Caenorhabditis elegans: one gene and its partner. The protein of the gene in region 2 interacts with the protein of the main gene of each other region in a pairwise test. Each region holds a gene or a part of one and is shown on either strand. Other genes may lie near its edges.

Region 1 (10,908 bases), on a different chromosome or scaffold from region 2:
GAACACTAAAAAATATTTTGGTAATGATATTATAAATTCAAGATCTTCAAATGAGAATGTGTCTAGTTGTAAACTAATTTATTGTTTGTAATGCCAATTTGGGAATGAAATCGCAAGCCAAGTTGCTACTGTTTTTGACCAATCCACGTCTTGTTAGAAATAAGAAATAAGAAAAATATGATTATATTTATACGGAAACAACATTTTCAGCACACACTCATCCTCAACAAATGATGTCTCGAAGTCTGAATATGCCATCATCTGCATTTTCCTCCCCAATTCCTTCAAATCAACCACTTTCTCATCAACAACCACAACAAATGTCTCAAAATACTCAAGCTCATCAACAACAAACTCAAGTTCAAAATCAGAATCAACCGCCATATTACGGAGGATCTGGTATGATTATTCCACCACCCGATCCTTCAATTAGTCAGATTTTCGAGCAACAGACTACTCTGATGGAGTTGGAAAAATCAAGGTTAGTTTGGTAATTAAAAAAAAAGGATAACTGAATTATATGCTAGCAGAGTTGAGCAATGGAGGTACAATCCTAATAGAGAATAGTATGTGACATTAGAAATTTTTTCAGGTCAGAATACGAAACACGAGCGCGAATCTTCAAGGAGCACCTGGAAGAATTACGTGGCGATATTGACGGCCTGAAACGAGACGGTAATGTACAAAATGGGCAGCATCGAGAGCATGATGCGGTTCATGCACAAAATGTGGCACACGGTTTTGATAAGTTCACGACGATGAGAATGGTAAGTAGATAATTTAGCAAGTTCTGTTAGCATGCTACCGTTCTGAACGGTTACTAAGCTGATCTCATGATCAGAAGGTCAAAAGTTCAAAAAGTTATTAAATCTCTTTTTCATCCTATTCTATTATATGTTAAGCTTCTAATTTATTAAAATTTCGCGCGTTTGGCATTTGTAAGTTTGACGCTTAACTTCGGAATATCTCCAGAAAAAATCAAAAAGCGCAAGCTCAATTGGCTCATCGGGTTCCTCCGATTCCTTGGAGCTCAATACTGTCGCTAGACATGTGGCGGGACGAGGGATTCCACGTGTCTCTACAGTATCCACTACGAGCTCGTCAAGTATTCTGAGCCACGTCATGATGCTGCATAGACAGCAGTCTTATGATTTGGGAAACACTGAATGGCAGGAAGCTGACATTTGAATATAGTGAGAAAATAGTGCCAGAGTTTGATTGTTGTGTGGTAGAGCGTGTTTGCATATTGACTAATTTTCCAATTATTGTTTTCTAACACTTGTTGATTGGTATTTTTGTTAGAGTTGAAAATAAACATTCATGGTTCAAGCGCTCTATGAATAAATTCAATAATATGCACACTGTAATTGTTTTTTTTTGACTTAAAATTTAAAAATCAGGAATCGCAACAATGAACGCAGCGCGAAAAATATTTCTTAGAGCGCAATCGTTACGTCGGGTACTGACACGAGATTATTTTTTCCGCTACAGTATCCAATAGTAGACGTTCCATCGTTTATTTGGAAATTCTTTTTCTTGAGTTTTTATGTTTTTGTAGTAAACCTATTCAGGGAAAATAAGATTTTCACAACAAAAACTCGAAAAATTTTTAAAAATAGAAAGAAACAAGAAAAAGCAAAACCCAGGGTACGGTATCTGAAAAGTTTCGCTCGCGCTAAGACTTTATTAATTTTATTAATTGATTCAAAAAATCACACATTTTTTAGTGAAACTATATCTTTGAATTTCACAAACCTGTCCGTCGGTGTATTTTGTTGTGATTTTTCAAATTTTGAAATGAACATTAGTGTGGTATTGATTGATTATTCTTCTCATTTTCCAATTATAATTTTCTTATAATTTCAGAGTATGCGAGGAACTCCACGACAACGAGCACAAGCTTTTGATGGAATGTGATAAGAAACTTTATGGCCATTTATGAACCGATTTTCCTTTTTTTTCTTCAGTTTTTCCCCATCCCGATAAGAGATAACCCCATTTTGTGCTCATTCAGTTTATTGATTTTTCCACACCCTTTTGCCATTTTTCAATCAATAATCTTTCGTGGCAAGACAAAAACGCGTATTTTTCTTCTTTTTTCCGAAAGGCATATTGTGTAAATATACATATCGAATGATTGATGAATACAGATTTTTTTTAAATGTTTTTTTATTAACTTAAAATAATGAAAAAATCTGTAATTTATTAATTCATTTCCAGCAAAAATGGGCGAAAAATTCAAGGTTTTCGTGTATGGAACCCTGAAAACAGGAGAGCCAAACTACAAGGTTCTGTCAGAAACTGACGGAGAATATCGGTAAGTTCGGGAGTACTGAAGAATTTTGAGTGTCAAATGTGATGCATTACTTCTTTCAGATTCATCTCATCTGGAACTACAGTGGAAAAGTTCCCATTGGTAGTTGGAACCAAATATAACATTCCATTTTTGCTTGATGATGCTGGGAATGGAAATGTGAGTTTTACAACCTGAAGTTTATTTAAACCGACGTACTTTGAAGCATATTGACAAGTAATTAAAAAAAAAGAACGAGAACGGAATCAGCTTTGGCAGGGAAACAAAGATGAATAAGGAAATTTTAAAGAAAGAAACAGAAAAATGATTATGCGCACGGTTTAAAGGGAGTATAAATGCCAAAAACTTGTTTAGATCCGAAATTTTTTTGGTATTCAAAATCTTTGAAATTTTTTTCTTTCCTTGAATCCGGGGACTGTGACAGGGGGAAACTAAAAATTGTAGGGGATGGGGATACTAACTAATATGAAAAAAAAAACAAACAATAATGTACATTATACCAGAAAAAAGGATATACATTGAGGATTGAAGAAAGGGGAATTCAAGAATCATTCTCCACACATTTCCGCTTTTTCATAGTATTTATTTGCGAGCTTTCCATTCATTGCTTCCATTGCTGCTTCAGCAGCTTCATTGAATAGACCATATGCTCGTTCGAAGTCTTGATTCAGGCCATAACCTCCCTCTTTGTACATTTCAGCCATTTTGGCTAGAATCTCGTGACGAGTCAGTGGAGCAAATGAGGAGAATGTCGTTTTTCCACAATCAGAGTCAAGTTCTTCTTCTTCTTGGAATCCAACGACGCGTTGATACCTACAAAATTTAGAATATTTCTCAAGTTTATAGAAAAAATGTTAAGGAACAAAATCATCCAAGAAGTCCAGAATAAAAATCGCAAATAGGTCATATATGATTTTCTTTTTGAAAAATACAACAAGTAGATTTAGTTTTTTCTGAACATATTTTTTGAAGGTTCCTAGTTTTTCTGGTTTTTCACAATTTTTCTTATAAAAAATGAATCAGAGACGGGTACTTCTATTCGAATTTTAAAAAATTTTCGATTAAAAAATTTCAATTTCAATTTCCAAATTTCCTAAATGTTCAAAAATTCAAATTTCAAAAAATCGAAAATCTTCGTTTTTTGATTTTTTTTTTCGTAAATTGAAATTTTTATTTAGAAGAAAAAAAATTTCCATCGAAACAAACAAAGTTTGATGAAATTTCAAATCTGTTAATTACATTCTAAATCTTTTTTTTCGATTTTCAATTTTCCGGCTATTCGAAAAAATTTTCAATTAAAAAAAATTAGAAGCTATAGCATCAAACATTTTAGCTTTTTTAGGTTTCTTAAAAGTATTCTCTATAAAGTCGGGTTACTGTATCTTCACTAGAATCTCATAAATTTCTTACCAATCAATCGATTTCTTATAATCCGTTCTTCGATTCGGTCCGAGATGCTGACCAGTTTCATAAGCGTGTGCCATGTACAGCATTGCACCCTTATCACCCATCTCTGCAGCAATTTCCATCAGATCGGAGCCGAACTCTTCTAGGTCTGAAAATTTTTGAATTTTGATAAAATACGGGATGCTGAGAACACTAGGATTGAATCTTTCAAAAAAGGAAACAACACGAAAGGTTAAATTGGGAAATCACAAAATAATTTTTAAAAAGCACACACGAGAAAACTTGATTCTTACCACAAGGTTTTTGTCCTTTATCAGCTGAAAAGTTGGAATTTCAGATTTAAAAGAGAAAAATTAACAAAAAAAGCTCACCTCGAATTCCATTTTCCTGTTCTCCAAACCCATTAGGAAACAGATCATCAACGGTGACTTCTTTCAACAATTCATGTGGTAATCCGAGAACAATATGAGCCGATGTTAGCACAGCCTCAAGGATTCCACACTTCCGAGCGATATCCAAATGGAAAATTGCAGACTGCTTGTCGTATTTGATTGGTACACGAGCGTCATTTTCACTTCCCTCAAGCATTTCCTTATGTTCTGAATCAACTTCTACGAACCGCCCGAGCTCATGATATCGTGAGAGATCAATATGAATCTGACCGAGGACAGAGAACTGATGCCCGGTGACTTGTGGTACGTCTTCATCATTTTCCAGGTTAGCAGCCATTTGTTGAAGTTGAAGTGATAGAATGTTTGCTGGAACTGATTGTTTTCGAAGAACCTTCCAGAATTCATCCTTTTCAGTGTCTCTGGTTTGTCTAGAACTATTCATAGAATATGTCCCAACAGAACTTCTGAAGCTATCATGTCTCTGACGAAGTGAGTTTAAATCTACAAATCCGCATTTTCTAGGACGAGATGCTGATTCATCGCCAGAAGATCTCGTTGAAATGCTCATTCTACTACGTCGACTTTTCTGACTATTTCCACTTTTTTCACTTCTTGGATAGTCTTCTTCTTCGTCCTCTTCATCTTCGGAGCAAGGCTCACAGAGTTGCTCAACAACTGGAATACACTCAGGACATACACAGTCTTCGTTGTGACTCTGAAAAATATAAAAATAGAATACGTTAGAACTTTTTTAAATGTTTCTTTCACCTTTGCTGACAAATCGGTTGACGATTGATTCAACGTCTTCCTTTTTCTCAATTGATCCATCGAAATACCATGCTCGACATGTACACATTCACTTGAAATTCGATTTCTTCTTGCTTCGAACACAGTTGGAGGAACTATGCATGACTTTTTCTGCTTTGCAGCTACTTCCATCGCAACTTCGGTAGCCTCGATTTCAGGTGGCGAAAGTTCGAAATTTGATAGATCCATTGTCTCACAAATATCGTTACATCTGTGTGAATGGAAGAAAAGAGCCATTCCACGAGTTCCGAGGTTTCCATCTCCATAATCAGTTCCCACAACTGTATGAATCTGAGGATCTGTGTAAAGATCACCAACTCCTTGAATATCGACAACCATCATTTGATGACCAGAACGTTCGAAGGTGAAGTGAGAAAATGCTTGTGGTGTAAGACGAGCTGCATTTGATACAAATCCTGAGTTTGAATTGTATTTTATATATTTTCCCTCGATGAAATGCTCCAAATGATAGAGTGGAGAACCTTTTACATCAATCATCTCAATGACACACATTTGAACAATATCAATTTTCTTCGGTGGATTATACCGATTATATTCTTCAGCCCATAATTTGGCATCCATCTGAAGTCTGACATCATCGAAAAGAACTCTACGATCGACTTGACAAATGTATCTTTTTGCGACATAGTTGCTGCTCCAATCTTGACTTGTTCCGTGCTTGGAGCACTTTTTGAGTCGGTAGCATTCTCGCATGGCTCCACGTGCAAAACTGTCCGGATGAAGTCTCACATCGACTATATCCTCTGTCCATTGCTTTCTGATTGCAGAATACCTATATCGTTTAGCTCGTTGTACTGGATACTCGTGGATGTTGAACTCATCCCATGGATCTATATAGTTTGTTCTTGCTCGGCGAGCAGCCTTGCGCCATGTCTCCATAAGTTTTCTAACGTGGAGAGGATCCATACGAGGCTTCTCGATAACGACATCATTCTGTTCAATGAACACTTCATCTGCGTAGTCGTCGGTTATCCGAACCATTTTTGACGCATTGAGCGAGAATGTCCGAGCCGAGGCCTTGAAAGTAAAAATTGTAGTTTGTTTAATTGAATTTTAATTAAATAAATTTAATTTTGTTAAAGAATTGTTTTCAAAAATCCCACCTCCAATCCTGGTGAGTTAGTTGGACTATTGTCGCTCTCATTTGTTGTGTCGATCGTCATTTTGCCCAGTTTGACTACTGAAACAACTATTTTGTAAATAATTAATCCAAATTTTTTCAGAACATTGAAGGAGAAATGTATGAAGTTTGCGAGAAGAAATTGAAGGTGCTCGATGAGTTGGAAGCCTACCCAACATTGTACGATAGAAAGAAAGTTGAGGTAAGTCAGATAAAAAAGGTTCTGTTTGATTTCCTACTGTAGATGTTTTTATTCTTAAAAAACGATATTACCTAGTTGCGAAAAAGATTTAAAGTGTAAAATCTATGAAATTGGGAAAAACTGGACGTGGAGAACTACCGTACTTTTTAAAGGCGCACTCTCTTGTTTGCGCTGAAATTTTTTGGTCGCGTTGAGACCAGGTATCGTATCAGAACTCAAGGCAAGTCAAAGGTCTTGTTTTCTATGTCAGGCCCAGACACTACTCATCTAATCACACCCAACAAAAAACGAGCATGAATTAAAGCGACAACGGGGGGAGAACGTGTCGAATGAAAGAATACTTGAAAGCAGATGATAGAGAAAAGAGAAGCAAACAAACATATAAACAGTTTGATTTCTGTTCCATCGAGATGCGTCACGTGCTGGTCAGCTGAGAGCTTTTTATGGAAATTTTTGGATGTAATAACAATATGTTTATTATGCATTCGTAAAAAATGGATCCAAAAGTAAATTTGATCTCAGTGAAAAGAAATCGATTTTTAAAAATAACATTCTGAAACGACCATTAGAAGTAATAATTGAAAATTATTAAAGGTTTTCCAATTATTTTCTGAATATTTGTTTCTGATAATTGATAATTGAGATTTATGAAATTCGTATTCACTTTTAGAACAATTTTAAGATTCAAACTGCAGAAGTTTTCTATTTCGAGCATTTTTAGGTTTTTAGTCTATAATCCAGTGATTTGTGTGTAGAGAAGAGTTGGGTAAATAGAGAATTACGAGGATCGAGAACCAGATTCGGAAGATATTATCTTTTTCAATGGAAAACATACGATTTTGGATTAAAGTCCGTAAATTGTGTTTTATAAATCATTTTTATAAATGAGATTATGCATTTTGAAAAGAAACAAAAACTATTTCATATTTTGTAAGTATTGTAGGCATTTAGAGGTATCTTCAAAAGTTCTATAAAATTATTTTTTAAAAAATCTAAAATCCTCCCCGATATCGGGCCCGATAGGAATAAATAGAGAAAGAAAAAAGCTCATAAATTATAATGGGTAATATTTTTTGAAGGAACATTCGAGAAACGTCGAGGAAAATTTTCAAGATCAAAGATTAAAAAATCAAAAGAACAAAAAATCGAAAATTACTTTCAATTTTAAGTTTTTCAGTTTTGCACGTTTTTGTACTTACAGTTAGACATTAAAGATAAAAATGATTTTTTGTGATTTGATAAAAAGGGCAGATGGTGAATAATATATCAATGAGAAACCAATCCTATTATTTTTAATGAACATAATAAATCATCTGGTTGAGTAGATTCTTGGAATATAAAAATGAAATATTCTGATTTCCTTGAAACTTCAATCTGACCGAGCCGAATGTAATAGGTCAAATGTGACCAATATCTCTCAGACATTTATCACTAGCACTTTAAAATAGAAACAGGAATCAGTAGACTCTCTGAAGTTGAAAAAAGACCGACGGAAAAACTGGGAGAAAACTACGTGAAGAAATGGAAAATCGAGAAAGGCCTAGAGGCACCCAGAAGAATGGAGAAAGGAGAAGAAGGAGAGACAATGATGAAGAATGAGAGATTTAGAGAAACAGACAGAGTGTAAACCGAAAAGAGATGGGTGTGCACATTTGACTTGGATGGATGAATGGTTGGGACCACTTGGTGTTTTTTTTGGCTGAAAAATATAGAGGAAGTTAAAATAAAGTGTATATGAAGGAACCTATAATTATTGATTTAGGATATTTATGGAATAGATAATATGAATGAGCTCATTCAGACAGCGCGGGTTACTGTAGAAAGTAGACACGAAATTTTCAAAAAAAAATGTAAACGTCTTCGACCGTTTGTTTTATTTTTCATTGTTGAATCATAACAATACCAACTTACAAAACATATCTGAAAATGGGGAATTTCTCATTCAAAAACATGAAAATTTCAGATCAAACTTCCGTCTGGCACTACTGAGACTGCGTTTATCTATCTGCTGAAAAGCTGGCGCCCAGATCTACTTTCCACGTCATCCGAAATGATGACCAACTACTCAAGCCTCGGAGCTCATGGTAGACCTTATGTGGACAGGTAAGAGAAAAATGTGCCTTTTAAAACTAGAGTTAAATTAAATATTTCTTTGAAAAACAAATTCCAGTGATTTATTGAAAAATTACGCGCACGACTGGAATTTTCAGATACGTGCGCGCAAAAGAGATGCTTGACGATCTCGACGGCAGTTCGAACCTCTATCATGATATTTTGGGCGCTGAGAACCTGATCTACATCGAGTTGGCTCAGAGAAAAGCCGAGTTCGATTTGAAAAGTGGGGAAATTTACAAATAACTATTCAATGAACCTACATTTAATTTTTTTTGCAGCGAGAACCTAACCAACGAGAATGAAATGTACGAAGCAATGTGATCACCGAGTAACAGTTCCTCATCGTTATAATTTGAATAAATGAATAATAATCTGGGATTGAAAACACACATGCAAGATAACAAAGACGAGCACATTGGGAATGTATAAACGTTTATATGAAAAAGAAAAAAGGGAAACGAAAGAAAAAGACACCATGATTGAATCCGAAAGGGAATTGGGCAAAGAGAATATGATAGAGCACTTGTATAAATAGCACAAGTAGAAAAAGAGCAAAGTGCTCATGGGGAAAACATTTTGAAACTTTCTTTCGTTGAAACCGTAACCGACGACACGCGAAACAGGCGGATTTGAGATTTTTGGCGTGACACCGAAAATAGGAGACGACCTTCGAAATGCATAAGATTTCGAAAAAAGATACCAAAATTCGATTCACGTGAATTCTCAAACCACACCGTCCGCTGTCAACTACCCTATAAATTTCACGGGGTATTGTGGGTCGTTCAAGAATTGGTAGAGCAACAATAAAGAGTGAAGTGCGTTTAAGCACGAAATGATAAGAGAAATTTGGGACATAACAAGTTGATAGGGACGAAATTAATAATGTACTAAATTATGAGAATACTAACCAAAAAAAGGATATTATAGAATAAAGAAAAACAATGAATAAGGAAATGGGAACACAGAAAACAGAAGAATAAGAAAATAGTTGGGCCTATTATTGATTTTTCCTCAAATGTGGAGGAACGTACGATCCAGCCTTGGCAGCTCCCGAAGATGCTGGAGCAGCAGCTGCAGGGGCTGGTGCTGGCTCGTTACGCGCTGGAGCTGGATTGGCGGCGCTCATCATCTGAAACGTTGAATTTAGACATTTTCAAGAATAATAAAAATGATTTTTGATAGTTTTAAAACCTTGAAAACTTAGAGTAATTATTTTTCCTTGACACATACCTTGAGAGCTGCAAGAGCACTATCACGTCCACTTCCAGCAGTTGTCGGATACGATCTTGAAGACCCACTTGAAGATGGGCCCGAACTTCCTGGCCAAGCTCCACCGGATCCAGCTTTTACCCAACCTCCTGGTGATTTGCTCTCCTCTTTCTTATTCTTCTCAATTTTGCTTGCATCCGCTAATGATGGGAAGGCAGCGTCACTACCCATATCCAGATTTGCAGCAGCAGCTCTTGGTCTGTACGGAGCTCCTGGTCTTCTCATTGCAGGTGGCTTGTAAGCGGCAGCCATTGCTTTGTCACTGATCGTCACAGCTTGTTCCGGCTCCTCCGTCGCTTTCTTTTCACTGCTAACTTGTCCCCAAGTCTTTGTCTCATGAACCTCGCGATCTTCTGGTTCTTCGTTATTTACTTGATCTTGTTCACTTTCAAGACCCATATCTTTGATTTTCAGACCATCTAGTCTGCAATAAATGAGATATTTAAATGAAATCGGAGCGAATAATCTACTAACCTTCCTTGACTTTCTCCGTATTCAATCCATTCACTTTCTTCGTTAGGATTCACGGCCTTCTCCTCTTCTACCCGCTTTTCAGAAACATCCTCCGACTCTTGCTCATACTCCTCTTGACGCTTGGCTCTTCGTTCGAGTGCTTGACCGACTTCTTCGATTTTAACGGCGGACTTCTTTTTCTTGTCTTTCTTTTTAGCAAAGAAAGCGCTCAAATCGTCACTCATTTTGTGTTGTTGTGAAAAGCGAGTCGGAACTGAAACGTGGAACATTTAGAGAGTAAAATTATTTTGAACGGCCTAAAATGAAACGACAATAGCACAGTTTTCTAATATAGTGAAGTTCAAATAACGAATATGACATGTAAAGTTACTGTGCACAAAGAACAAATGATAGGAAGTGGCAAACTAGCTGGAATTTACTGAAAATGAGAAGAAAACGCGACGCAACACGTCACGCGCGTATCAGAGATTCATTGCAGTTATTTGGCAGAAGGCTGTCTTGACAATAATGAATTTGCTAATTGGAATAGTTTAGGCTTTTGGAGCTTCTAAATATAACTAACAAAAAATGAACAAAACGTGTAAGTTGAAGAGAAATCCAGCTAAAAATTCAGTTTCGCAACAAAAAAAAGTTAGAGACTGCAAACGCGCCAGGACGATTACTGGCGTGTATGGCGATTTTGTTGACGCATATCTCGTTTTATTCAGTTTTCTCTCACATTTACAGTATTTTCGGATGAATAAATTGCTTTTGGTCGAGTTTATAGCAGTTTACATGTATTTATTAA
Region 2 (11,228 bases):
TACCTACAGTACTCCTACAGTACTACTACAGTACCTTGACATTATCCCTCACCAACTCTTAACTCAATACCTCTTCCAACTACAGAAAAGAGAGTTGAAAGATCAAAGATCAAACTACAAACTACAAACGGACGGAAGGACACGCGCTTTATATATAGTAAATAAATGATGTGCCACTTTATAATGTTCCAGCAAAACCATGAACTATCTTCAAAGAATTTTTGTTTACTCTTAAAATGTGTATTTCTGCAAATTACGAAAGAATTGAGAAATATATTTATTTTGTTAATTTGAATTTAAAAAACTATTCATGTTTCTTATTGAGTGTAGTTTTTCAAACTCTGCATGATTTTGAAAAAAAAAAGTAATAGCCTCAAAAGTTTCTACTCTTCTCTCCCCAAATTTTTACCAAATTCAAAAAAAATTTATAAATTTCATCTGATTTTTTGAACATTGGAAAAGTCTCATTTTTGCTACTTTTTTTGAAGTCGTCGGTCAAAAAAAAATTCTCCCGAATTTCATGGCTCATTTATATTTCAATTATATATTTCAAAAACTGTAGGGTTCGAACAGTGCTACAAAAAGTGAAAAAAATTAGTAATTGACACTTGACTGCCAATAAAAAATTTTCAGAAATTTTTTGCTAGTTTTTCTATAATATTCGGCACCACATGAATAACTTTTAACAGTTTCTTCACTGGCGGTACTCCACCTTTCAACATTTTCGTACGTTTTCAGACGGTTTCAACTATTTTAAGTAGTTTTTGAGACAAATTTGTAATCGGCACTTTTTACGCGGCACTTCTATTTATAAAGTGGGAAACATTTTAGATAACCTGGAAAAATGTTTTCAGCCGGCATATTTTTTTAAAATGTGTAGATAATTGCTTTAATGCCATATAATGCTATGTAAGTATATTTTTTTTTAAAGTTCTTTGTTAAAATCCATAATTTGAAATGGAAAAAGCCCCGAAAAATAATTGTCCCATTGTTTTAGTTTTTATTCCCTTTTTTTCAGGTTTTTTAGAATCGAACCACGTGACGGATTATTTTTCTTTTGTGAAAAATTGAATGCCTCACTCTTCGTCATTTCAGTCTCGCACGACATCTTTTCAATTCAATTGATGTTTTGTTCTGGTTTTGGTAATACGTATACATTTCTTTTTTCTTCAATACGGAGCATTCAGCTATTTTTAAAAGAACTTTCATATTGAATTAGTGTAAAAACTTGTGATTTTTTTCAAATTTCAGCAGATGACAATTCCGGTTGCAAAACCATATCCCAGTGGAGAAGGTGTGGAATATCCCAGAAATATGTATTTTTTCGACAATGCAACTAACGATGAAATTGTGATTTTAGAGGAGCAGCAACATGATCCAAGAGTCATTCTGTTAGCTCAACTACGTAATTGTCTATTTGTACCTTATCGACAAACATTTAAAACAAACGTTCCAGAAGTAGTATATGTGAGTTTACCATCACTGGGGGAAGTATTTTCAAACGGCTACTATAGTGCTAAAATGTTCAAATATCATAGTGAAACTTTTCAAAAAAATTGTTTATATTTTTTTAATTACTGGCAATTCGGCAAAACTTTGACTGAAAATTTTGAAAAACCTAAAAACTTTTGAAGTGTTTTTTAGCATAAATACTCTATACCAATATGTTTAACAACAAATTAAAAAAAAAATAGACAACCTCTGTATTCAGAACGACTTCACTGATAGAAGTTCTCATTGGAAAGACTATGTAGACAAAGGAGGATGGGTGAGTTAAAGCAAGTTTGAACGCTTGAAATAAGTCTGAAATTTAGAAAAATATCAGAAAGTCACATCAACTTATTGCTAAATTGGTGGCAAATAGTATTGCACAAGAATATCATTTATTGGCAAAAATTGGAGAAGAACAAAAGTGCTCGGTAAGTTTTACGAAATTTGAATATTTACAAACACTATTTTTATTAGTGATTAGAAAAATACGGCAACCAAATTTTTCAAAACGTTTTTGAAAATAGTTAAACGTGATGCATTTATCAAAAAAAAAACTGATCAAATTAATTTTTGAAAAACTTTCATACATTTTTGGAAAATCACATAATTATGCACAGGTGGACAACAATTTTTCTCGGATTTTTCGATTTTTTTTTGGGCTGTCGAGAGCCGAGAGCCGTACAGTTTTGCTCCACTCTGAAACTTTATTTTTCTCTCTTAGAAACAAGTGAATAAATGATACATATAAAATCGAAATACAGCGCACACAGGTGCTAAAGAACCTACTCATTTTCATTAAAGGAGCTTGAACCATTTTTTAATTTTTCATGAAAAACAAGTAATGGTATCGGGTTCAGCACACCAAAAAACTTATGGACCTAGAAATTCATTCCGCTTCCCCATAAATTGGGTGCACATTAGCAAAAATATGAAACATCGACCGCTCAAATGCAATAGGACCCCCAACGATTTTCCGAAATTCGAGAAGTTTTCCGAAATTTCTAACACACAATCAAATAACATATTTTGAGTTTTAAAAAATCGAATACTGTTGCAAAAAATGAGATAAAAAATATTTAGGAAAATTTTAAAGCAGCTTTAAAAAAGCTTTAACTGCGAAGTTCAGAATTTATATTTTGCAGCACCGTATAAATTTATTATGCCTAATCAAATCAAACTCATTTCAGTTCGGCCTCGAGAACATTGCACTTCATCTTCGCGATGTCATCAGCATGGAAACGTTCTTCACGAGTCTTCTATTCTAACAAACTGCACAAAAAAGAGAACAATTTATTCAATTGTTATTTTCATAGTGTAATAAACAATCAAATGCAAAAACGGAATCGGCTGTAAATAACCCGTCAATAAATCAGTGACTACCTAATGTGGACTACAACGCACTTTCCTGAAAAATTAGACCTCGATAATTCTACACAAGACAAGACATTAGTGGGGGAGGGTGGGGGACAAAAACACGTGCTGTAGAATCAAAAATAAGAGCTGCTAGAGAGTTGTATAAAACGTAGACGTCAACGTCATCTGATTTGAAAAAGAAACAAACAAGTTATGGTTGATTTGACATGATACTAATGAGAGAATTGAAAACTCTTGATGTTATCCGTAAGAATGGAACCCTAAAATTATAAAATGATAATCATTTGTGTCTGTGGGAGGTGGTGGGGAGGTGATCAAGTTTTCACCAAAGAAACTGTATCGGAAAGAGGTTTGTTAGGAAGAATATTTGATTCGCCGGCAGGATCGTCATTTTCATTTTCATCGTGTGCATCTGAAATAAAAATTGAATCATTGAGAGGAATATTATTTGCAATTGCTCACCTATTGTTTCGTCTTCCTCCTCGTCGATAAAAACGTCTTCTGGCAAATCCTCAAGAGAATTGTATCCAGATACCGGCTTGTCTACCAAATCTGAAGAAGCTGATAAGATCATATTAAGTCTATTTCAATTTTTAAAAAAATTCAAAAACTTTAAAGGCAAAACTGAAAATTTAAAAAAAAAACCTACAATCAGAAGTAACATCTACATCTTCATCCTTGACAACTTCCGATACAGACGTATAGCGAGAAAGTCGATTGGCATATCTGAAATAAAAATTAATTTTTTTTTTTGGTTTAATTCTTAGTTATCTTATTTATTCTTATTTATAACAAACCGTTCTTGCTGCTTGGCCACCATTTTTGGCGGAACTTTTGCTCTCTTCAGTCCTCCATCCCATTCCAAATCGACCAGGCCACCTTTGTTGGCAATTTCTTTTTTCACGCGGTTCGCAAAGTCGACGGCATCCTCTCCATCTCGTCTTGTCATTGGCGGCAGGTACCAGACATTGCAAATAATGGCCCACGAAGTCATCATTCTCATGATATATCCGCACCACGATTGCTCTGAGCTGTTCCAGAACGCGTCTCCGAAACGTGAATCGTATTTCATTGCAATTGGGTAGATGGTTGTGCCAATCTGAAATGTTAACAGTTTATGAAAAAATCAATACCTATAATAAGTTCAACAAACCTCAAAAGATCCTTTCTTAAACATCATAACAGACGTGTTATTGATGCAGGTGCCTTCTGGGAAGATCAAAATTGGAAGTTTATCCGGATTGGTGCAATGTTCCTTCAATTTTTGAGCAACTACAAGACGATCCTTGGCTTCACTTCTCTCAAACCAAATATGACTTGAAGCTCGCGAAAGTGCTCTTTGTACAATACCCAAGAGTCCTTCGTGTTTCTGTCCGATCAATGCATATACATTGTCGATGGAAAGAATGAGAGCATCAATTGGAGAGGTGTGGTTTGCGACGCAGATTCCTTGTGCCTGCGCTTTATAGTGTTCATCGTGAAAGTATACCACAGCCGTGAGACTTCTTGAAAGGATTCGGTAGCAAATAAGCATACACTTGTGGTTGAGAGCTCTGAAAAGATACGTTTAGATATATAGATCTTTTTTCCGATTCAAATTTTGAATTTCGAGAAGAAATGCACATACTTTTTCCAGTTTCCAATTGGAACAAGACCAATGAGCGCTGTCGAACTGATCAAAAACACGAGACCGATGCAGAAAACAGTGAAGCGAAGTGGCAACATAACGCAGTAGCGGAACATGAACCCAAGAATCCATAGAGCACTCAACTTCCAGCTGAAATAGTGTTGTTCTTTGATCTTGCCTAATAGTATTACTACTATTATGTTAACATGTGCACTTTTTTGCTGATAAACTCACTTGACAAACTGATAAAATTTGATGCTGGTTCTGGTCAACATGTTCCAGCTCACCAACTGTTCCGCTTCGAACCGACTCGTCACCTCGTCCTCAATTATCGCCTCCATTCCAGCCTTCACAAAATCTACCGAATCACGAATTGCAGCCCATCCTCGACTTCTGACAAACACCTCATCAGGAATGTCTTCAGAAAAGTTATCGTCAAGGTAGATTTGTGTCTCTCGTTTGATGATTCCCACTGGAACAATTCAATGAAAAAACATGTATTTATAATTGGCATTTTTTGTGATTAATCGAATTACGTACTAATAGGCTAACTTCTACTGGAGGCACTAATGAGATCAGAAACTGGTAACTTCAAAAATTATTTTAAGTTTCAGAAATCGGTATAATATTTTCAAAAGTGATACAAATTAACTGAACCAAAGCAGTGAAATTGCAACCAAACATACAAATTATACCCACTTAAAATATAAAGCAGTATGAGAAATGTGGAGAAAGAAGAAAAAAAATCAGAAAAGGTACTACCACAACTCAAAACTTGATAAAATTTTATTTAGGAGTAGCGCCACTGAGGAAATTGTTAAAAACCAATTATACTGTGCCAAACGTACCAAATATCAAAGTAAAACTTTTCAGAATGTTTTTGAAAGGGTTTTTTTGCTTTAAAAAGTGGCAATTACATAGTTTTTGCCAATTTTTTGGAAGTCGTCAAATCTTGGAATTTTATGGAATATGTAGTTTTATTTCAAGTATTAATGTATTAATGTTTAAACATTGTAGGGGTTAGGACTTACGGCAGTGCTATAGTTTTCTCAAAAACTGTCAAAAGCCCAGTAATTGCCAGTTTTTGACTGTCAATAACAATTTTTAGTTCCAAAATTTTTGAAAAGTTTTACTATTATATTTGGTCATTTGGGCATCGTGAAAATAGTTTTTCACAGTTTCTCCACTGGCTCTACTCCACTTTCAACATATTTAAAACTACCCGATCAAATGATTACAACATACATGTGCTGCTTTCAGACATCTTTCTATTTCGGAGACTGCAGCATGATCCAACGGAGGCGAGACCTGAAATGAGATACCCAACCTGACAAAACAAAACGAGAAAATGGGGGTACATGCTTTATAAAGAAGCTAGCATGCTTTTCTGTTTTACTCTATCAACTCACTAGTAGTTGATCCAAACTTTCTCTTTAAACACGACTCGTCACCAAAGTCAGAGTCAACTGACGGAAAGTCTTCTCCAGAATCATGGCTTTCCGTTTCACTCCGAGCCTCAATTTCATCATCCGTGATTCCATCTGTGGCTTCAAAATGTGGAGTCTCCATACTTCTGATCTCATCTTCGTCGTCATCGGCTTCTTCGGAAAGCTTGTTGAGAAAAAATGGAGCGGTCAGAGCGCTCTCTTTCCTTCTAATCTTTTCGGTTGTTTTGATTTGGCGAGCACCCCACTGAAAAAGTAATATACTATATACTACTTATACATTACTCTAATATCAATTCGTTACAAGTCGGTGGTTTTTCTTTCCAACAACGTTGTTTTTCGTCACTGTTTTTTATCAATCTGGCCAGGCCATCAGACCATATTTGGGCGAAAGATAGAAGAAAAATGTCTGAACGCTGTTTGATAAGACAATAGATTTCGAGTTGTTCCCAAATAATTTATGATGAAGAAAAAAAGAAAACTTCTTGACCTTCAATCTCAGAAATAGAAATACAAACCTCGAATATGTTGATCAATGTGTCCACGTACATCTGCCGCAATCCAAGGGACTTTCCAAATGTTGCCAGAATGATGCATAGCAAGACGGTCAGTGCCACTGGTGGAAAGGCAAATGTAGTTAATACAAAGAGCAAATGCTCGATTCCGAGCATACTGCCAGTTGTTTTTCGTTTTGTATTCCTATTTTCGATTTGGTTCTGTAAAAAAATATAAAAAGTAAATCAAAATTCAGTAATAGAAAGTTTCAACACATTAAAGCGGAAAAGGAAATGGAGGCGGTCAGTTGAGATGACGGAATGTGTCAGTGAAAATAGAAACATTTTCTGCGATAAGTTACCGGAGCAATGAAGGTGAAGCACGCGGTGGGAAACCACCAGACTGTGCTGAAAATGTGTCAATCGGAGAAAAACTGCGTCGAACTAAAAGTGCAAAGCGACAAATATTTGAAAAAAAAACTAGGAGAGACTATCAAAATGTTTCGATTATAACCCAATGTACACGAGACAAAAAGTAAAAAAAAAAGATCACGGTAGTTCAGAGGAAATTACGTCATTTTGACGAAAAAAGATATGACAAAAAAAGAAAAGTTGGTCTCCAAGTGGGACGATTTGATTGCATTCAACAGTTGTTCTTTTCAGTGTAACTGGAGAACCATAAAATTGGTCTTTGAGGTGTCACTCGAGACCGGGAAAACATTAATAGAATAAGACAAAAAATGCCAGACCGAAACAGATATAATTTGTTGACTTGTTCGATTTGTTAATATTTTTTTTTGCAGATGGGGAAAAGAAGCCGCAGGGTGGGCAGAGAAATAACAAGAAAAGTGGAACGAAGGCAACGTGAACCCATTACTGCGAATGCGAACTAGTCATATTTGTACAATGAGATGGAGCGATGGAGCGCGATTGCTTGCTTTGATTGCACATTTTGGCAGTGGCCATGTTACTTTTTTTAAAGACGAATAGTTTTAATAGTTTTTAGCATTTGGTTTTCAAAAGAAAGTTACTAATTTTCATTCATTCAAAATTTCGAAATCAGTATCGGCTAATGCAACGTAAGTTTATTTTCAAGTTTTCAAAGTTATTTTCAAAATTTTTTAGCCTGACTAATCATCACGATTTTCAAAAGAATATAAGATTTTTCCTTATGATTTTAGATTTTTAACAAAAAATTCCGTTTGTTAGTAGCAAGATAAAACAAAACAAAATACAAGAAAAAAACAAAAAACGACTCAAGGGCAAGTGGTCGATTTCACAATGACAGTGCGAGGAAAGCGAGTGACACGTGACTTGAGGTCACCCCGCCTCGGTTTACTCATGCGATGGATGCGCGGGTGAGCAGCTGCGGTCCGCAATATGTCGTCTTATGCGGTGTTTGCACCGAACTGCGCAGTAATTGTTTGCCGGCGGACTATGACGAAACACGTTGCGAACGTGGCGTTTTAGTGAAAAGTGGGCAATGATTGAGGATTCAGGATAAGGAACTGGAAAAGAATAAAGAATAATTGGGTCTGCATTTATTATCTAATGAAGTGAAGAGATAATATTGTTGACAGAACTTGTCACGGTTATCAGTTTCGCGGATTCTCCCATTCGTTCTGTGGTGTCTTATGCAAATAAACAAATTTTTGGGGGGTGTTCTCTCCTGAAAGTTTCGTTGAAACGGTTTTAAATGACTAGATGTTCAGTTGTTAAGGGAGTTCACTTGCAAATTTCAAAGGTGGAAAATGTCAAATAGACATTTGGGCAACCCTAAAATCTTTAAAATATAAAACTTAGGATAACAAAATGTTTATTTTGCTGGACTTAAAACGAACCTGAAGAATCGAATTTTATAACGAGATTTCACGAAAATTTCGAAAAGGCAGTAGGTTTTAGGTAAAGTTATCTTTAATTTCTCTGTGTTTTGCGGTCGGAAATATTCAAAAATTGTTTTATGATGCATATTTGGTTTGTTTGTAAAAGTTGAAAATTTTGGAGATTTAGCTGAAATTGGGCACGTTCCAACTAAACACCATTGGAATTAATGCAATTATATGGTTTGTTACTCTATGAGAAACTTGTTTTTATTCAATATTGACGATAAGGATCTTTGGTGGCTTTTCAAATAGTTTAACCCTGGACTTTGAGATTAAAAAGTGGATGCACCAGGTGTCCAACTTCCCGTATCTCTTCACTCGGTGGTTTCCATCTTTTGTGACAACACTTGACACCGGAAGTCACTCAAAACCTGATTGCACACCTTTCAAAACAAAGGTGGTGTGAAAAAAAAATGGTTTTCTGATTTTGTGATTTACTTTTTTTCCATTTTTTCTCTTTTTGAAGAATTTCCTAATGTCTTTACGTTTCTCTCTTGTTAGTTTTTTGCCGTGTCCCAGTTTTCATGATTGTTTTCGATTGAAAAAAAAGTAGCGAGAAAATCTCTTTCCGTTCTTCGGAAAAATGAAGATATGCAAGAATCGGTTTTCAAAAGTGACAATTGAGATATTCTCCTCACCTGGTACAGCCAAAGAGAGAACGCTGCAGTGTTTGCTCAGCAACGTATTGTGCTGAGTTGTGCACCCCGAAGAATGGTCAACACAGATTGTCGCCAAATTAAACTTCTTTTCAAATTTTCAATGATAACGACTTACTAAAATTTTTGGAGCACGAATTTTTAAGTAGTTTTGACAATAAAAACTTGTTGCCTATTCGAAGCACATCAAAGAGCAATCAATCTGTGATCTTTATGTAGGCGTAAAAAACTAAAGGTTTCATGGGAGACTGAGGTTTACAAATTTTTTACTAGAGGTTTTTGAAATGCATGAAATTTCAAAACTTTTGGTACCGATTTTTGCCATAGTGTATTCCCTCATAAAATATGATAAAAGCTCGATAATGAGAAAAAAATAAAAAATTTGGAGGCAAAATCCAAGTAAATAAACGGCTGCTTTACGACATTCAAACGATTTGATATTGAAGAAAATGCCTCCGTGTTTTTATTTTATTCTTTGTTTACTTGACACAGGTAGCTAATTTTTTCGTTTCAAGATTATTTTGGTGATTCTTTATTATATTTTAATTTTCCAGCTGAAATGTCTGATTGTCATATTAAAACTTTTTAAAACAATGAAAACTCACTGTCCACCTACACAGCATAATTTCGAAAGTTGACCAAAAAAAAGTTTTTTCTACAAATTGTATTTTTAAACTGCATTTAAAATGTTTACATTTGAAGGTTTTAAATGCTCAAACCTGCAAAAATGCTCAAGTTTGGCAATTTACTAAAACTTAGGCTGAAATTATTGAAAACTCTAAAGCTTTTTTGTCAGTGAAGTATCGTTTCACTGACGTTACTTCACTGACAATAACCTTAAGTTTTCCAAATGGTACATAAATTTGATACTTGCGTTGCAAAGTTTTCACAATTGACGTGGGAGTCAATCTTAGGTTTATTAGAAAATTGGGTACTTATGGGTTTCGTTCCCCCCAAAATGTTTTTATTTCTAAAATTTCATTTTCTAATTTTCAAATTAAAAACGTGAACAAAAGTACGAAACAAAGCATTCATTTCTACAAATCGTTTCAAAACGTTCCCCTTTTTGTGGTTAATTGAAACTTAGAAAATTAAGATATTTTGGGGGGAACGAAACCCATAAGTACCGAAAATTGATAAACATGTATATAGTTAGTTTGCTCATTGTATCTATTCTACACATTTGTTTTCAAGCTCTCAATAGTTTTCTGTTATCAGAATATCTCATAGCAAACCTAACAGCAATAACATAATTCGACTACTACCGCATTCAATAATTTACAATTTTGTTGTGCGGTGATTTATTGGGCATGATATATTGCCTTGCTATATATTTTTCAACGTTTCCTTTAAAAGTCAAAGCAGTAATCATTATTCGTAATATGTTGATTACATGCATAACTGACCACGTCGCACACATTCACATTATCCCTGACACTCCCTAGTATCAACACACTCTAATCTAGATCGTTTCATTATTGGAAAGAAAGGAGAAGAAGAACATCCTCCACGCTGGAAGGTGGGAAGAGTGACCTCCACAGGTCTTCTCTTCTCCCGACCCACTTCTCTTTTCTCTTCTCAGAAACTTCCTACTTCCATGCATCTCCGTTGTTATTCTTGTTATTCGTTTTATATTTTTGGCTTTGATGTGATTGTCTTACCTATTTCCTTTATTTACAAAGACTATTTTCAGACTATGAAGCTTCTACTTCTCTCCCTGCTGGCAGTAGCAGTTCTTGCCAAGAAAGAGTCAAAGGAAGAAATCAAAGATTTATCCCATGGTATGAACATAATTTTTTATTTGTTTTGAATTGTGTGAATAAGCCAGAATGTTACAGGATATCCAAGTGCTATCGAATGGGTTGAGTTTGACAAAGCTATTGGAATCGCGAAGGACTTGAATAAACCAATCTTCTTCCTCATTCACAAGACCTGGTGTGGAGCTTGCAAATGTGAGGAAGCTTTCACAAGGCCCCAATCATCTTATCACTTATTTCAGCTCTCAAGCGCGAACTTAAAAGTTCACCAAAAACCGATGAGCTTATCATTCTCTCTCGTAAATTTGTCATGGTGAACGTAGAAGATGATGAGGAGCCAGAGGATCCAAAATACTCACCAGATGGAGGATACATTCCAAGAATTTTATTCCTTGGTAAGGAGAAAACCGAAATATGTAAGAGTGTAACAAATTGTTTTACAGACACCGACGGAAACCCATTGAAGACTAACAACGAGCGCAAGTATAAGAATAACAAGTA

Evidence for each region.
Region 1: the proteins of acl-4 (region 2) and efk-1 interact in a two-hybrid assay, tested with the Caenorhabditis elegans proteins (one large-scale study listed by BioGRID).

The regions. Positions count from the first base shown.
Region 1 is NC_003281.10:6,162,427-6,173,334, forward strand, and holds efk-1 (Eukaryotic elongation factor 2 kinase), read right to left. Parts: upstream 6,122-10,908; 5' UTR 6,105-6,121; coding exon 6,045-6,104; intron 5,959-6,044; coding exon 4,882-5,958; intron 4,829-4,881; coding exon 4,093-4,828; intron 4,039-4,092; coding exon 4,015-4,038; intron 3,870-4,014; coding exon 3,725-3,869; intron 3,128-3,724; coding exon 2,863-3,127; 3' UTR 2,480-2,862; downstream 1-2,479. Other genes in the region: nfm-1 (FERM domain-containing protein), read left to right, coding at 211-481, 593-767, 973-1,188; F42A10.9 (Gamma-glutamylcyclotransferase family protein), read left to right, coding at 2,226-2,317, 2,377-2,473, 6,165-6,263, 8,227-8,366, 8,657-8,699; F42A10.5 (Protein CDV3 homolog), read right to left, coding at 9,376-9,507, 9,609-10,071, 10,122-10,345. UniProt on the Caenorhabditis elegans protein: Phosphorylates elongation factor-2 (eEF-2) at two threonine residues that are conserved in all eukaryotes and are located within a GTP-binding domain. Calcium(2+)/calmodulin dependent activity.
Region 2 is NC_003284.9:2,063,789-2,075,016, forward strand, and holds acl-4 (Phospholipid/glycerol acyltransferase domain-containing protein), read right to left. Parts: upstream 6,654-11,228; 5' UTR 6,609-6,653; coding exon 6,456-6,608; intron 6,185-6,455; coding exon 5,902-6,184; intron 5,801-5,901; coding exon 5,738-5,800; intron 5,604-5,737; exon of another isoform or gene 5,454-5,603; intron 4,965-5,453; coding exon 4,727-4,964; intron 4,643-4,726; coding exon 4,493-4,642; intron 4,419-4,492; coding exon 4,019-4,418; intron 3,965-4,018; coding exon 3,663-3,964; intron 3,592-3,662; coding exon 3,515-3,591; intron 3,427-3,514; coding exon of another isoform or gene 3,418-3,426; coding exon 3,328-3,417; intron 3,278-3,327; coding exon 3,180-3,277; 3' UTR 2,766-3,179; downstream 1-2,765. Other genes in the region: F49H12.7 (Exostosin domain-containing protein), read left to right, coding at 1,255-1,467, 1,712-1,768, 1,815-1,919, 2,679-2,756; txdc-12.2 (Thioredoxin domain-containing protein), read left to right, coding at 10,667-10,751, 10,809-10,922, 10,970-11,122, 11,171-11,228.